2 linked regions of the Mus musculus genome follow. The protein of the gene in region 1 interacts with the protein of each later gene in a biochemical or structural test. Links are inferred from orthologs where the notes say so. Each region holds a gene or a part of one and is shown in the gene's direction. Other genes may lie near its edges.

The links.
Region 2: the proteins of Sh3rf1 (region 1) and Akt2 form a complex in vitro, tested with the Homo sapiens proteins (2 studies listed by BioGRID and IntAct, with this or other methods). The link is inferred for Mus musculus from reciprocal best matches to the Homo sapiens genes SH3RF1 and AKT2.

What each region holds. Positions count from the first base shown.
Region 1 is NC_000074.6:61,389,549-61,396,448, forward strand, and holds the end of Sh3rf1 (E3 ubiquitin-protein ligase SH3RF1), read left to right. Parts: intron 1-4,120; coding exon 4,121-4,289; 3' UTR 4,290-6,524; downstream 6,525-6,900. UniProt on the Homo sapiens protein: Has E3 ubiquitin-protein ligase activity. In the absence of an external substrate, it can catalyze self-ubiquitination. Stimulates ubiquitination of potassium channel KCNJ1, enhancing it's dynamin-dependent and clathrin-independent endocytosis.
Region 2 is NC_000073.6:27,587,832-27,595,413, forward strand, and holds the start of Akt2 (RAC-beta serine/threonine-protein kinase), read left to right. Parts: upstream 1-3,720; 5' UTR 3,721-4,048; intron 4,049-4,314; exon of another isoform or gene 4,315-4,826; intron 4,827-4,926; exon of another isoform or gene 4,927-4,998; intron 4,999-7,582. UniProt on the Homo sapiens protein: Serine/threonine kinase closely related to AKT1 and AKT3. All 3 enzymes, AKT1, AKT2 and AKT3, are collectively known as AKT kinase.

The sequences.
Region 1 (6,900 bases):
GGAATTGAACTCAGGACCTCTGGAAGAGCAGTCAATGCTGTCAACCACTGAGTCATCTCTCCAGCCCCCCAGTTTAGTGTTTTTTTGATAGGATTCCTGAGTGTGCAAACCAGTGGGTCTCTGATTTGTGTGCCTTCTCTTGGAGCCTTTTCTGTCTATTTGTCTTTTCCAACTCCCATATTACAGTTTTTGTTTCCTCTCACTGTTTTATTTTGCTGTGTTGTATCAGGATCCCTTAGAAGCCTTTTCTAACGAGAGGCAGAAGTGGGATGGGTGGGAATGAGAGGTGTCGAGGGAAGGAGCCGGGACAGTAGAGGAGGGGAACTAGAGTCAGGATATATCATGTGAGAATGCAATCTCTTTTCAATGGAAGGAAGACTAAAATCTAGTTAAAACTCACCCCTATTCAAAGGTACAGTCCACTGGCTCTGGGTGCCTTTACATTGATCGTGTGTCAGTGTCCGTCTCTAGAATGTCTTCTGCATCTTCTGTACAGGAAGACCACATCATTCACAGCTGCTTTCTTCCCATTTCTGTGGCCCCTGAAGTCTGTTCTCCTTTCTCTACACAGTGGTTTCATATCAGTGGAGTCCTAGAGCACCTTTCCTTCTTCGTCTGACTTTTTTCTCTTAGCATGATGCTTTCCGGATCCCTCCATGTTGTAGCATGTATTAGAATTTCAGTGACTTTTTTTTTTTTTAAGAACATTACACATTTTAAAAAATGCTTACTGAGTGGTTAGGTCTCACTCATTCAATGTGCTTAATAAGAATCATCTTATGTTCTGCCTTTGGTCACATGAGGCGGAGAGAGTTAATTCAACATTATCCACGAGTCGAAAATAAACGAGACAGCAACACAGATGGTAAAAATACAGTATGGACCGTGCTAAGTGCCGTGAGAAACACACACACGGCCCTCTGCGGGTCAGTCAAGCGTAAAATTACTTCCAGCTATGGGGCTAGAGGTTTCCCAGGGGAGATTTTGAGCCAGGTCTTGAGAGATTGATAGGGCGTGGATGAGCAGCGATATTGTGAGAGAGATTCCCCATGCAAGGAGCTGCAGGAGCCAATATGTGGAGGAGGAGGAGAAGTGGGGCTATGTTTGAAGAGACATGGGCAGGCTTCTTGGGGTGGGGTGGGGTGGGGGTGGGGTGTTTGCGATGACGATGGCTGCTATAGCTATAAAGCAGGATTATGGCCAGATCATTGAGGGCTTTGTGTAGCAGTGTGAGGATTAACCTTACAGACACTGAGAGCCCGCTAATGGTTTTTCACAATGGGTACCTACAGGTGGCATGACTTAATATAAATATTTGAGTTGTGCATGGAATGGATTGGGGACTGGAGGAAGTATAATACAAGAAGGGGGTGGGGCATAGTTAGCCCGTCAGCCAGATGACAGCGAAGGAGACCAATGGGGGTGCAGCTTTTGGAGGTGGCTCAGCAGGTGCCACAGAAGGTGCAGAATGTAGCTCAAGTTCAAGACGTTCAGAAGTGCCCGGGAACCCGATTCACACAAGGGCGAGCATGAGCCAGTAAGGCAGAGGGCTGGGCGGCAGGTGTGAGGGCCTTTGCAGCTGCGTATGACATCTGCTTGTGGATGTCTGTAAAGACTCTGCTTGGCAGGGCTTTTGCGTGCCTGAGTTCGCTGGGCTGTCCTGCCAGCATTTGGAGCTATGTGACAAAGTCTCAGTACAAACCGCTCCGTGAGGCTCAAGGCCAGGGCCCGAGCTGGAAGGCCTCTAAGTGGAGTTCCTCGGTGCCGACACCTGGCAGTCCTCACATGACGCACAGCATGTCACAGTTTCCATTCTGCACATGGCTTCTCACTCCACCACTCCACTCCCCCTCGAGGTCTATAACTTAGCAATGAAAATTTGTTCCCACTGGTAACTTGGCGGGAAGATTATGTTCTTAGCCCAGCAGCCACTCCAGTGCTGAATTTTCGGACAAAATTGGTTTAGTGCGTTTTTATAAAATGCAAATATTAATCTAATTCCCTTAAAGTTTTTAAACTTGTCTTGTTCCATTTTACCTTAAAGCGGCTTACAGGCTGCCAGTCAGCAACGCATCTCGTGAGAGATCTACACAGAATATGCTTTCCGTCAGTGGTATATTTCCCCCCAGAACTGCACAGCTTTGCTTAAATGTTAACTCGCCCCTAATGGCAACTACATCATTGTGTTTTATGTGGACTTTTGGCCTGTTGGCATCAGACCTGAGAAATCACATCTGGGTTCTTCTTTTAGATCACTGCACGATGAAGTTGTTAGTTTGCTTTTAAAGTTGTCAGTGAAAGGGTTCCAAAACTCTATGTCATTCTAAAGTGTGGGAACTCCCAGTGTCAGGACGTTCTTTAGCTTGTGGCCTGAGTTCATCTGTTAGTTAGGGACTAGCCCGCTTCTTAAAATTCCCCTCCCTGAAGTACCAGACCCCAGCATGCTCAAGGAAGCCCTATGCTTGAAGTGGCTCACATTCTGGGGTTGAACTGTACGTGTCGCTGTACCAAGAATGCCACTCTTTTGACCTCATTGTGCTACTTATAAAATAGATTGTCTAACTCATTGAAGTCCCATTCTCCAGGGGAGGAGACTGAGGCAGTGTTAGCTGGCTCAAAGTTAAGGTGCTCTGAGTGACCATAAGACTGTGTCAGTTCCCCTTCACCCACAGTGCCTCTCCACTCCTTCCTGCTCTGCATTTGACGACCTTATCTGTAAACTCATGTCTGAGTTGGCTGAACCTTTCTTGGAAAGGATAAACGGACCCAGCGCTATGCTTTTGCTGCAGACCTGGGAGGGTAGATTGGTACCCATGCCCTAGAGAGCAGAGTAATTGTTGGACAGCTACTTAGCTTTTGTGAAAAGTGAGCCCACTTGCTGTGGTCCTCAATAATGTGGTGGGTTCTGGGTTTTTATGGAATGGGGATTCAAGAGAGAACCAGGCTATACAGATGCTAGCAGGCCTGGTTTTAACGCAGCTCCTTCACATTATTGTTGACTAGTTTGGGGAAGACACTTTAGACCCTCACATGGTGCCTGATTAGGAGTGTCCAGTGGCCTCACCCATGCCAACTGATTGTCCCCGTCCTCAGTCACCTGGCCTCAGAAGTCACAGTCACTTTTGTACTATTTCTTTATCACACGGGGCATTGTAGAAGAAAACTGTGCATGTATGAGACTAGCAGAGGCAGGGATAGCTAGAAGATGGCTACCAAACACCAACAACAACCACCGCTTTGATTGGAAAGAGCAAGGCAGAGGAAAGAGAGAGATAATATCCAGTAGAGAAAAGACTGGGTCGGGAGACCCAAAATAAGTCACCCCTGCCTGACTTCCTTAGCTGCTAATCATAACCCTGCCTTAGAGACCAAGGCATAGGGGCACGGGGTTAAGTGATGGTAATCCACAAGGCTGCTGGGCAGTTAGGTACTAGCTACGCTTCTTCCCACTCACATCTGCCTTGAGAACTAAGGGCAAGCGAATAGATAAGACACAAGGAGATTGGAGTGTCAGCATCATTGCTGGCCGTGGTGGGCAGAATTGAGCCCACAGTTCTCTCATTTCTGTGTAGACCTTGGGACCTCTTCCCAATGCAAGACTTGCCTATGTAAAGGCAGGCAGGCACTGCCTCCTGAATATCAAACCCAGAGTAAGGGATACCGAAGACAGTCCTCCAGATCTGCCCCAGGCAGCAGACCTGACACCTCACCTCGCCCAGCTCAGTACACTGCCTGCAAGAAGTCTTGGCTTGCTCAGCTGTTTGTCCTGGTCTCAGAAATCAAATCTACTTGTCTCTTCCTGGAGTAGAGGGTAGGACAGGAATGGTTTCCCTATTAAGAATCCACACAACACATATCCTTAGGTATAGCTAAAATACAAATACTGAAGGCAGACAAAAATGTCTCTCCCTGTGGAGGTCACTCACAAACACCAGTTTGGCCCTCGTTAGTGGATGAAGATGAATACCCAGCTCAGGCTTGGCTAAAGAGAATTGCTGGATTTTGAGTTGCGCAAAGCCTTGTGAATGGCTGTGTGAGTTCTATCGGTGCCGAGGCACGCTGTGAAGTGACGGTGCACCGTTTTTATTGCTGACCTGAAGAGTCTGCTTCTCTCGCACAGGCACAGGGTGGTGGTTTCCTACCCTCCTCAGAGTGAGGCCGAACTTGAACTCAAGGAAGGAGATATTGTGTTTGTTCATAAGAAACGAGAGGACGGCTGGTTCAAAGGCACGTTACAGAGGAATGGGAAGACTGGCCTTTTCCCAGGGAGCTTTGTGGAAAACATCTGAGAAGACGGGACACGGAGAAAGCTTATCATCACACCACGTGTGACTAAAGAGCACAAAGCAGTTTCATAGAAAGAGCACATCTGTGGACTTCCAGATCTTCAAGAACCGAGCAGAAGATGGGCACCTGACTCCAGAGCCCCGGCCTGGTTACCCCAGGGGCAGAGGGAAGGAGGACACACCTGTGTGGGTTCCGTCTCTCTGGGTTCTGATGTGTAAAGTGTGCCTTGTAATGTCTAATGGACTTTACAGATAAATGTCTTTTTTTTTTTAAGATGTATAACTAAAATGGACAATTGTTTACAAGGCTTAACTAATTTATTTGCTTTTTTAAAACTTGAACTTTCTTGTAATAGCAAATTCTTTGGGTTATGGTTTTTAGAAAATATTAATTTATGAAATGATGGTTAAGGAGAAGCTGGGTTCTCTCCTGTCTGTTGAGAGCAAGAGATTCTTTTTGACATAGACTGCATCTCCCCCTCCCCTGCTTGCTGCCCTCCTCCCTGCCGTTATATTTGGCTCCGTTTAGACAAAAATGCCAGTTTTCCAAACAGACAGCTGAATCAGTACCGGGAAGGACCTGGGGAGGGGAGCCGGCAGACTCCAGGTAGAGGAGTTAGTAGGTCCCCATCTGTCTGCTTTGATCAGAAATCAACCTGAAGACCTAATCCTGGATTTCTTTTTTGTGGGTTTTTCATTTTCCTGAAACGAAGTGGGTAAAGAAAGACGCAAACTAAAGCACAACCATTGACTGGAAATACGCGTTTGTCTGCTAGCACAAGCAGCAGCGCCGTGGGAAGTGAGAGAAAGTGGTAGTCTCTGTGTGTGAGTGGCTTTGAACCGTAGTTCCCATTCTATCCCCAAGTGATCCGCATGCCCCAAGACACAGTAAAAGTTTGTGAGACAGTGGTGGTAAGAGATGCACTCGTGTTAAAGTCAAAAGGCTGTAAGAAAACACTGTGAACGTTTCCACTCATCCATCGTGATTTCTCCGCCATCTTGCATGTGATACCGGATTCCCACAGTGGTGTGGACTGTGCATGGTGTGTGTATTTCATAGCAATTTTCACTCAGAACTGACCGATAACAGGAGGTTTAACATACACAGCGATCTCTTCCCTGCCCCTGCCCCTGCCCCCACCACCACCACCACTACTGACCGAGATGTCTTAAGTATGTTTGCTCCCTCTCGGGTGAAGGCACACGTTAGCCAGCACACCAGTAGTTAAAATGCTTATCCACATGTGTCCTCCCAGCGGACGGATGTGAAGGGCGAGCTCTGGGAGACCACTCGCTCCTGGGACTGTTCGGCAAGGCTTGCTGGGAGTGGCTGTGCCCACACCTTACAATTGTGGTAGGGTCTGGCTGAGCCCATCTTTTTATATCCATCCTTTGATGCTCTCTTCCAATTCCACCCCAGCTGTGGGTCTGGCTAGTCCTGAGAGCAGATAGAGGGAAGACAGCCTGGTAGTGAATGACCTTGTTCTACGGTTCTCTTCTGGGTAAGAGAGTAAGGAAGTCTTACAACCAACTTTTCCTTTTGTTTTTTTTTTTTTTTGTTTTTTTTTAACTTTAAGATAAAAGTAGCTGGGAAATATTGACATGAACTGAAGAGTCACAGAATGGCAAGAGATCCCATTGTCTTAAAGAGATACGTAATGTGGCTAGAAGTGGAATCATTCCTGTTAATTGATTTTTTTTTATATATATATAAAAACACTGTATATTATGTTCCTTTGTGTTGAATTTTTTTTTTAAAGAAATACTTTACTTGGATATTCATGTAATATATAAAGGTTTGGTGAAATGAACTTTAGTTAGAAAAAAGCTGACATCAGCTTTCATCTGTGTGAGTCGACACCAATGTGTCATAATATTCTTTATTTTGGGATATTAGTGTATTTTATAGAAATTTTAAAAAAGCAAAAAGACTACTACAAGTTAAGATGATTTCTTTTTTTACCTGTCTTTTCTCCATATTTTCAGCTATGTGATTGAAGTATCCGTGGTAATAGCTTCCTGGTATAACGCTGGTTAAACTCTCATCTGTTGGTAGATCACTAGGTGATATAATGTGTGGGTTTTGTATTGGGCTTTTTGGAGACAGTAGATGGATGTTGTAACAAGGGCTTGTCACACCGTGGTGGGGATGAGAAGTCGACAATTTCTCATGCCTTTTATGGTAATTTTGAGGACTGGATGAAAGGTTTCATTATTAAAAATTGATGTTCAACCCTTCTAGGCCCTTTTTTTTTTAATCAATCTTTGAAGAATTTGCGCCTTAAAATGAATAAGAACCTCTTGGAGGTGGAGAGGCGGCTCAGCTGTTTAAGAGCCTGCACCATTCTTGTGGAGAACCTGAATTCAGGCCAGACCACAGCTGCCTGTACCTCCAGCGCCAGGGAACCCAGGACTCCTGCCCTCTTCAGCACGGACACGTTGGACTTGATTTCTAGTTGGTAACACTCCAGATGAATCTCCGTCTGAGGGTGCCTTCTATGAGGCTTGGCTTGATGGTGATGATTTCTTTTTCTCTCAAACTAACTTTATTCCCCAAGAAACTTAAACTCTTCAATGAGTTCTGGATCTCCTAAGACAGTGTGTAACACTTGCT
Region 2 (7,582 bases), on another chromosome or scaffold:
TCTTGAAAAACCAAAAAAAAAAAAAAAAAAAAGAAAGAAATCTTGCCTTTTATAATTAAAAAAAAAAAGAATGACCAGCTCATATATATGGTGCCATCTTGTGGCAAGAGCATAAATATAACTAATACATACTAATACATTTCCTTACTGGTTAAGTAGTTGACTCTTTTTAGGGGGAGGGGCAGAGTTTGTAACAGCAATCAATAGGACTCTTCTTGAGAAGAGTTCGCTGTGTAGTGCTAGCTACCCTGGAACTCACTATATAGTTCTTGTTCATTTTGTTTCTGGTTTTTAGGAACTGAGTGCAGTGGTGCAGCACTTACTTGAGTTGCTAAGGTAGGAGGACTGTCGAGTTAGCTGCCAGATGGGGCATGGTAGTGCACCTTTAGTCCCACCACTTGGGAGACAGACGTAAGCAGACCACTGAGTTCAAGGCCAGTCTGATCTACTTACTGAGTTCCAAGTCAGCCAGTTCTACAGAATAAGATACACTTGATTTTCAACTATTTTACATTTTTAAATTAATTTTTACTTTTATCTGCATTTTTTTTATGCTGAATTTATTCCCATGTGGTACATTTTTGTTTCGCCTGGGATAGCTTTTTATTTCTGTGCGACTTCCTCTTCTGGCTTTGGAACGATTGTTCCTTCTCAGTGAGGATCATCTCACTGTGGCAGGGGGAGCTCATGTGTGGGTTAATCCAGCCATGAGCTCTGTAGGTTCGTCGGCGCATCTTAGGTGCCTTGTTCACCTGGATGTGTTCAATGACTAGAGAATCTACGTCTAAACCCCTAAGTTCAGGGTTACTCTCCGCATTGCTAAGCATGTGCTGCAAACATTCAGCAGTCTGTTTTGGCCACTGACCCTGTGTAGCCCCATTGGTTGGCCTGGGAATACCTACACTCCACCATTATAGGACATTGCTTCTTTAAAGTGACATCCTTCAGACACTTGGTGACTTCCCACATATGCCTACCCTTGATGGCCTGGCAGTTTCACCAGTGTTCTTAAACTGAACATGAAGATTTGAACTTGTTTATTTGCATGATTTTGTAGGAGTTTCTGGGTCAGTAGAGTAGCAAGCCATCTTCATAGGTCACCTCAGAATGCTTATAGGAAGAACCATTTTATCTCTTAAAAAGAATCTGGGGTCTCTTAGTTTAAGTGTTTTGTCTGTGTGTGTGTGTACCATGTGCACGGTTGGTGCTCTCAAAGATCAGAAGAGAGTTGTAAACTGGTATGTGGGTGTTGGAAATAGAACCAAGGTTATCTTCAAGAGTAATAAGTGGGGGCTGGTGAGATGGCTCAGCGGTTAAGAGCACCGACTGCTCTTCCAGAGGTCCTGAGTTCAAATCCCAGCAACCACATGGTGGCTCACAACCATCCGTAATGAGATCTGATGCCCTCCTTTGGTGTGTCTGAAGACAGCTACAGTGTACTCATATAAATATAATAAATCTTTAAAATAAATAAATAAAACAATAAATTAAAAAAAGAGTAATAAGTGTTCTTAACTTGTGGCAGGATCTCAGTGTAGCCCTGGCTTGGCTGGAGCTCCCAGGGATCCGCCTGCCCCTGCCTCCCGAGTGTTGGGATTAAAGATTTACTGCACTTTATAGTGTGTTTGTGTGCCGTGGTGTACATGTGAGGTCAGAGAACAATTGGAGGGTGTCTGTTCTCCTTCCACCATATTAGTCCCAAGGGATTACATTTAGGTTATTAGGCTTGGCAAACAGGTATGTACACCCGCTGAGGCACCTGTGAGCCCCTCATATGACCTGGGTAAAGTGGCATCTCTGTAATCCCAGCACTTGCCTAGGCTGGCATAGGAGGATTTTTATGAGCTCAAGGCTACATGGCTTTTTCCCAAAACGAAAACATTTCCCTCTGCTTACAGAAAAACAAACAAACGAAAAAAAAAAAAAGGTATGTGGGATCTGAGAGCTGAAGTTCAGTTCTCTGGGGATCAGGGGTTGTTCTTAACTGCTAAGCCCCCCAGCCACCCATTAATGTTGAAATAAAATACTAATAAAAAAGCCTCCAGCAAGCCGGGCGTGGTGGCGCACGCCTTTAATCCCAGCACTCTGGAGGCAGAGGCAGAGGCAGGCGGATTTCTGAGTTCGAGGCCAGCCTGGTCTACAGAGTGAGTTCCAGGACAGCCAGGGCTACATGGAGAAACCCTGTCTCGAGAAACCCTGTCTCGAAAAACCAAAAAAAAAAAAAAAAAAAAAAAAAAGCCTCCAGCTTTTGCAAGGACTTGAGTCTGGCTGGGAGCTCCCCATGGCGCTGACTACAGTGGTCAGAAGCTGTAGCTCCAGTCTGATGCTCTCCTCTCTGGCTCCTCACTTGCATCTACTCCATCCCCAATAATTAAGGGAAACCTTGAAATTTCAAGGTCTTACTATGAATCCCAATCTGGCATGGAATTCTTAGTCCTCTTGTTTCAGGGTCTGCAGAGGTGGGTTACAGCCGTGCAACCTATATACCTTTTTTTCTGTGAGCGATTTTCTGTGGTTTTAAGTCTTACATGGGCTCAAGTTACTCCATATGAGAAATTATAAGTCCCACATTTATTTAGATATATATCATGTGCAAGTGACATTAATATTTTGAAGTCACAGTTTAATAAGAACTGTTTTCGTAAGATAATCCAAGGTTATTTGTGTTTTGAAGATGTGGATTCTTGAGATGTGGATACAGAAGTCAGCCCATAGTTACAGAAGAGGATATTCTAATGTGGGGTTATGTGGCTCAAAGCTTGAGTGCAACATCTTTTTTTTTTTTTGAGACAAGGTCTAGCTGGCCTGCCCCAACATCCAGAATGATGCAGTAACAGACCTGTTGCCATACCCTGCTTTGTGCTTGATCTTAACTAACTTGTTTTGGGTCTCTATAAGTAAGCATCTAGGAGCCTGGCAGTGGCAGGCCAGGCCTTTAATCCTATTGCTCAGAAGGCAGAAGCAGGCAGATCTCTGAGTTCAAGACAGCTTGGTCTACAGGGCGAGTTTCAGGACAGCCAGGGCTATACACAGAAACCCTGTCTCGAAAAACCAAAAAAAAAAAAAAAGTCAGGCTGGTAAGATGGCTCAGCGGTTAAGAACACTAACTGCTCTTCCAGAGGTCCTGAGTTCAAGTCCCAGCAATCACATGGTGGCTCACTACCATCTATAAGGGGATCTGATGCCCTCTTCTGGCCTGCAGATCAGAGCACTCATACATTAAGTTAAAAAAAAAAAAAAAAAAAAAAAGAAAGAAAAAAAGAAAGTCTAGGACAGTGTTTCTCAGTCTACCTAATGTGACTCTTTAATACAGTTCCTCATGTGGTGATCCCCCAAACATAAAATTATTTTCGTTGTCACTTCATAACTAATTTTGCTATTCTTATGAATCATAATGTAAATATCTGAATTTTCCGATGATCTTAGGCAACCCCTGTGAGAGGTTCCCAAGTGAAGAACCGCTGGTCTAGGAACTAGGAAGGCAGGAAAGAGAAGAATAAAACAAGATCAAAGCATATGTAAATAAAGCCCTTTGATTGCCGGGAAGTAATCACTGGGCCTTCGGGGAAAGCCTACTTGTTGGTGTCCTACTGCGCATGTGTAATGCTACCCCCCCCTCCGCCCCCCCAGCTCAGAACGGGGCTCTTAAAAAAAATAAATAAATAAAAAGTTAACGTGACGGGTGCCTAAAGTACGCAGGCGCGCTGCCTTGAGCCTGCCTGCCTCCTAGTTCCTGCGCTTGCGGTCTGATGTTTTCTGAGGCCATTCCCTTGGTCTACTACGTCAGTTCCTGTTTGTGGCTGGAAAAGGCGGTATTTCCGGCCAGCGGGTGGGAGGGGGCTGTGAGTGGGGGCTGGGGGCTGGGGGGAGGGGGCGGGGGGGCCCGCGCTGCGCGAGCCGTTGGGCCTGACTCCGAGAAGGCGTCGCCGCCGCCAGCACTGCCGCCGTTGCTGCCGCCAGTTCATAAATAAGGAGCGGGAACGAGCTCAGCGTGGCGATGGGCGGGGGTAGAGCCCGGCCGGAGAGGCTGGGCGGCCGCCGGTGACAGGTGAGTACGCCAGCGCGTGTCCCCAAGCGCCCTCCCCTCCGCGATGGTCGCGTCCTGGCCCCCCGTGGGGCCTCGCTGGGCCGTACCACCCGTGCCCGCCTGGCGGGGACCACGGACCTGGAGGCTCCCCCCCTCTTCCGGAACGGAGTGGGGGCGCCTGCTGCGGGGCTGGGGGGGACAAACCCAGAGGGACGCGGGGCGGGTGCCGTGGTCCATACCACTGCGGCGGCGGGGGGAGCTCTCTCTGAGTGTGCGGGCTGGGGGCTGCCCTCGGGGACATCGGGGGAGACAGCTCCTTCTCTGTGGTGCCAGCCTGTCCAGCTTTTGAGGCGCTCACCGTGTCAAGTGCCGCTTGGGTGCTTTGGGAGCCGTTCCTATAGTGCACTTAGAGGGATGGGAGCTTCTGGAGAGGGGTCTGGGCCCAGGGTGGCCGTGTTGGGGCAGTCAGGGTAGTACCACCTAGACACGAGAGAGCAGTCTTTGTACTTAGAGGAGAACAGGGTCGGGTGGAGGGCTGTGATGTTTATCATCTTTGAGGCACAGGGTGCTGGGAGGCCCGAGTGAGTGTTAAGGGGCGTACTTTTAGGGGTGTGATACTGAGTGGGCGAGGAGCGCTTTTCTCTTCCTGTAATATGCAGGGGTGGGCGTTTACACTCAGCTCACCCTTTCTTGAACTTCTTTATGACTTTGGGGAAAACGGGATCGTTACTGGGCTGCTTTTTATCATGGGGTTGTCCACTCACCACTCCAGAACCCTCTCAGATTATTTCTCTTTAAGGTGTGTGGGACATCCTTTGGCAAGTTCTTTGCTTCCGGGGGTGGAGATGTGTTTTAGAAGTCACTGAAGTTTTCTGATCTCTAGTCTGGCTCCCTACTAGGAAAGGGAGGGGCTATCGGGCTTGGATAAGGAGAAGTGCCTCTGGACCTGCCTGTCACCTTTTGGGCGGAAGGTGTGTTTTAAGGGACAGCTCTCTAGAGCGAAGTGGGGGGGGGGCATCTTTATTCTCAGAATTTGGGGCCCCTGTTTCTCTCATTTGGAGAACTTTTGGCACCTGGTGACAGGCCTCCCCCTGCTAGAAAACCATAGGTTCAGGTCAGGCTGATTTTTAGCCTGTTTACTATTCCCTCCTCAGAGATGCAGGTGAGAGTTCAGGTACTGCCTGGTGTCGTGGATATGGATGTGAAGGGGCCCACGTTTCTCCAGCCCTGGCCACGTGGCTGCTTGTGCCTCCCTGTTACCAGCTCAATCTAGAGTCCTGTTTACGCTCCTACTAGTTGAGTGATAACAGTTGGCCTCTTGGTGAGGTTGAGTGCTGTTTTCCCAGCTGTTCGCTCTGCAGAGGCCAAGGGTACTTGGAGGGGAGTGTACTTTATCCAGCTTGGTCTGACCTAGGGAGAAAGGCTACGTAATAGTGTTTGGGACTGCTTTAGGTTCCTCACAGACCTAGTTTCTTACTGTGGTCCCTAAGCAGGGAACCCCAGAAGTGTGTGGCCAGTGTCCTTGCTCCTTAGGCTAGCTTGTGATCTTGGCTTGCCCTGTAACCTTTGTCCTAGGTCTAAATTTCCTGGAGGATTGGCTGCAGGCCCTGATTGACCTAGCTGACAAGTCTGGTGATATGGTCAAGGGAACAGACAGTAGCCATTGATCTACAGCGTTGGTGTCCGTGCTTGCCGGCCTCAGTGCGGCGTGGTTCCCAGAGAGAAGGTGCAGGCAGTGGGTGTCCTCTAGGGTTTTCTCCACCAGGGATGGGCTTCTCGACCTCTCCAAGGAGCTTTCAGAAGGTTTGCCTGATAGAGTTAACAGGCGCTATAAAAGTAATGACCGTGAAATTGATAGCTGACCTTCACTCAGAGCATTCAGTGTGCCACACACTGTGGAGGATGCCTTGCGGTCTAGAGTAGCAGACTCTGTTGTCATGCTGTCCTTTTTAGTTGAGGAAACCGAGTCACAGGGCTGCACCATTTCAAGTGATAGTGGGTAGTATGTGCTATTTAGTAGTCCTATCATGCTAGGGATATGATAGGCCTTTTGCACATGGATGGCTTCATGTAAGTTTCAAATATTATAGTTGTGTACCTATCGTTCTGTCTACTTTATAGAGACCTAACAGTGAGGTAGGAATGTTATGCCCAGGTCACAGGTAAGGCAACCAAGGCACTGAGCCATTGTGGCTTCTGTTTGCGACTAACTACTCTGTGCCCAGCTTTGGGCTTGTGGCTTTATATAGCATTTTATTTCTTTTTGTTGAAGCAAAATTAGAAATTGCAGCCTGAAGGAGAAGGTGCTTTTTTCCAGGTCTGAATCAGACCCCTTGGAAGCCAGGCTGGGATTTAGACGCAGAGGTCCCAGGCTGCAGTGCTCTCTGCCCTCTTGAGCCTGGTTCTGGGTGTCTGCATTCTTTGGATGTTCCTGTACTTGAAAGTTTCAGCATTTCAGGTTTTTCGGGAGAAACTGGGGGACAGAACTGAATAAGACCTCTTTTAGCCCTGAGTACATGTGTGCTGGGGACAGAAGACGCTAGCAGGAGAGCCATTCCGCGAGGTGGTGAGAGCAGCTATGGACCCCAGTTAGAGGCAGGGTGAGCATGAGCTCTTCGGGCTGTGTGATTGGAGTGAGAATATCTACATGCAGTAGACTCCGAAGGCGCTCAGCTCCAGCTGCTGTGAAGAGCCAGTGAGTGACTTAACCGATCGATAGAAAGCTTCTACCATGGTGCCAAGCCATGGGAGTCTCTGCGGACACTCAGAACCTGCTGTAGGACGAGGCACCCACCTTATCCATCCCCTGCTTTCGCTTCTGTTAGGTGTCTAGGAATCCAACTCTGTCCAGTCTCCATCTAGACATTCAATGTCCTGGTTCCCAGCTTCTGTAAAGAGCTATGTTGGGCTGACAAGATGGCTCAGGGGGTGAAGACATTTGCTATTATGCAGGCCTTGCAACCTGTGTTCAATCCTCAGAACCCACATAAGGGTAGAAGGTCAGAACCAGCTCCACAGTCGTCCTCTGCATGTCACAGCATGTCCCCAACTATGTACATGTACATACACAATAATACACACAGTTTTCAAAAAGGCTATAGTGCAGTACTAAGCACTGAGTTCAAATCCAGCCTTCCAGGTGCTAGCTGTGTAGCTCTGAGTGGGCACTTCAGCCTTCTTGAAGCCTTATCTGAGTTCAGGGAGGACAATGCCTTCCTTAGGTGGCAACAGGGAATCCTAGATACTGCAGCCTCTTCTATGTCTGGCGCAAGTGATAGACAGGTATGTGCTCAGCGTGGCCTAGCAAATTATAATTCACTGCTGCTAGGATTCTGTGCCCTAGCTAGTTTGTAGTAGTTTGTCAGAGGACATCAGGAGAAAAGCAGGGCTGACGTTAGTCACTTTCCCAAATGTAGAGTCAAGGTGGCACACAGTAAAGTCAGCTAACAAGTGCCTCTCGGTACAAACTGTAGGTCCTTCCCACGTTCCAGAGTTGGTTCATACCTTTGTTTTGTGTGCTTTTTCTAAATCCCTGCCACAGTCATGGAGTGGTGG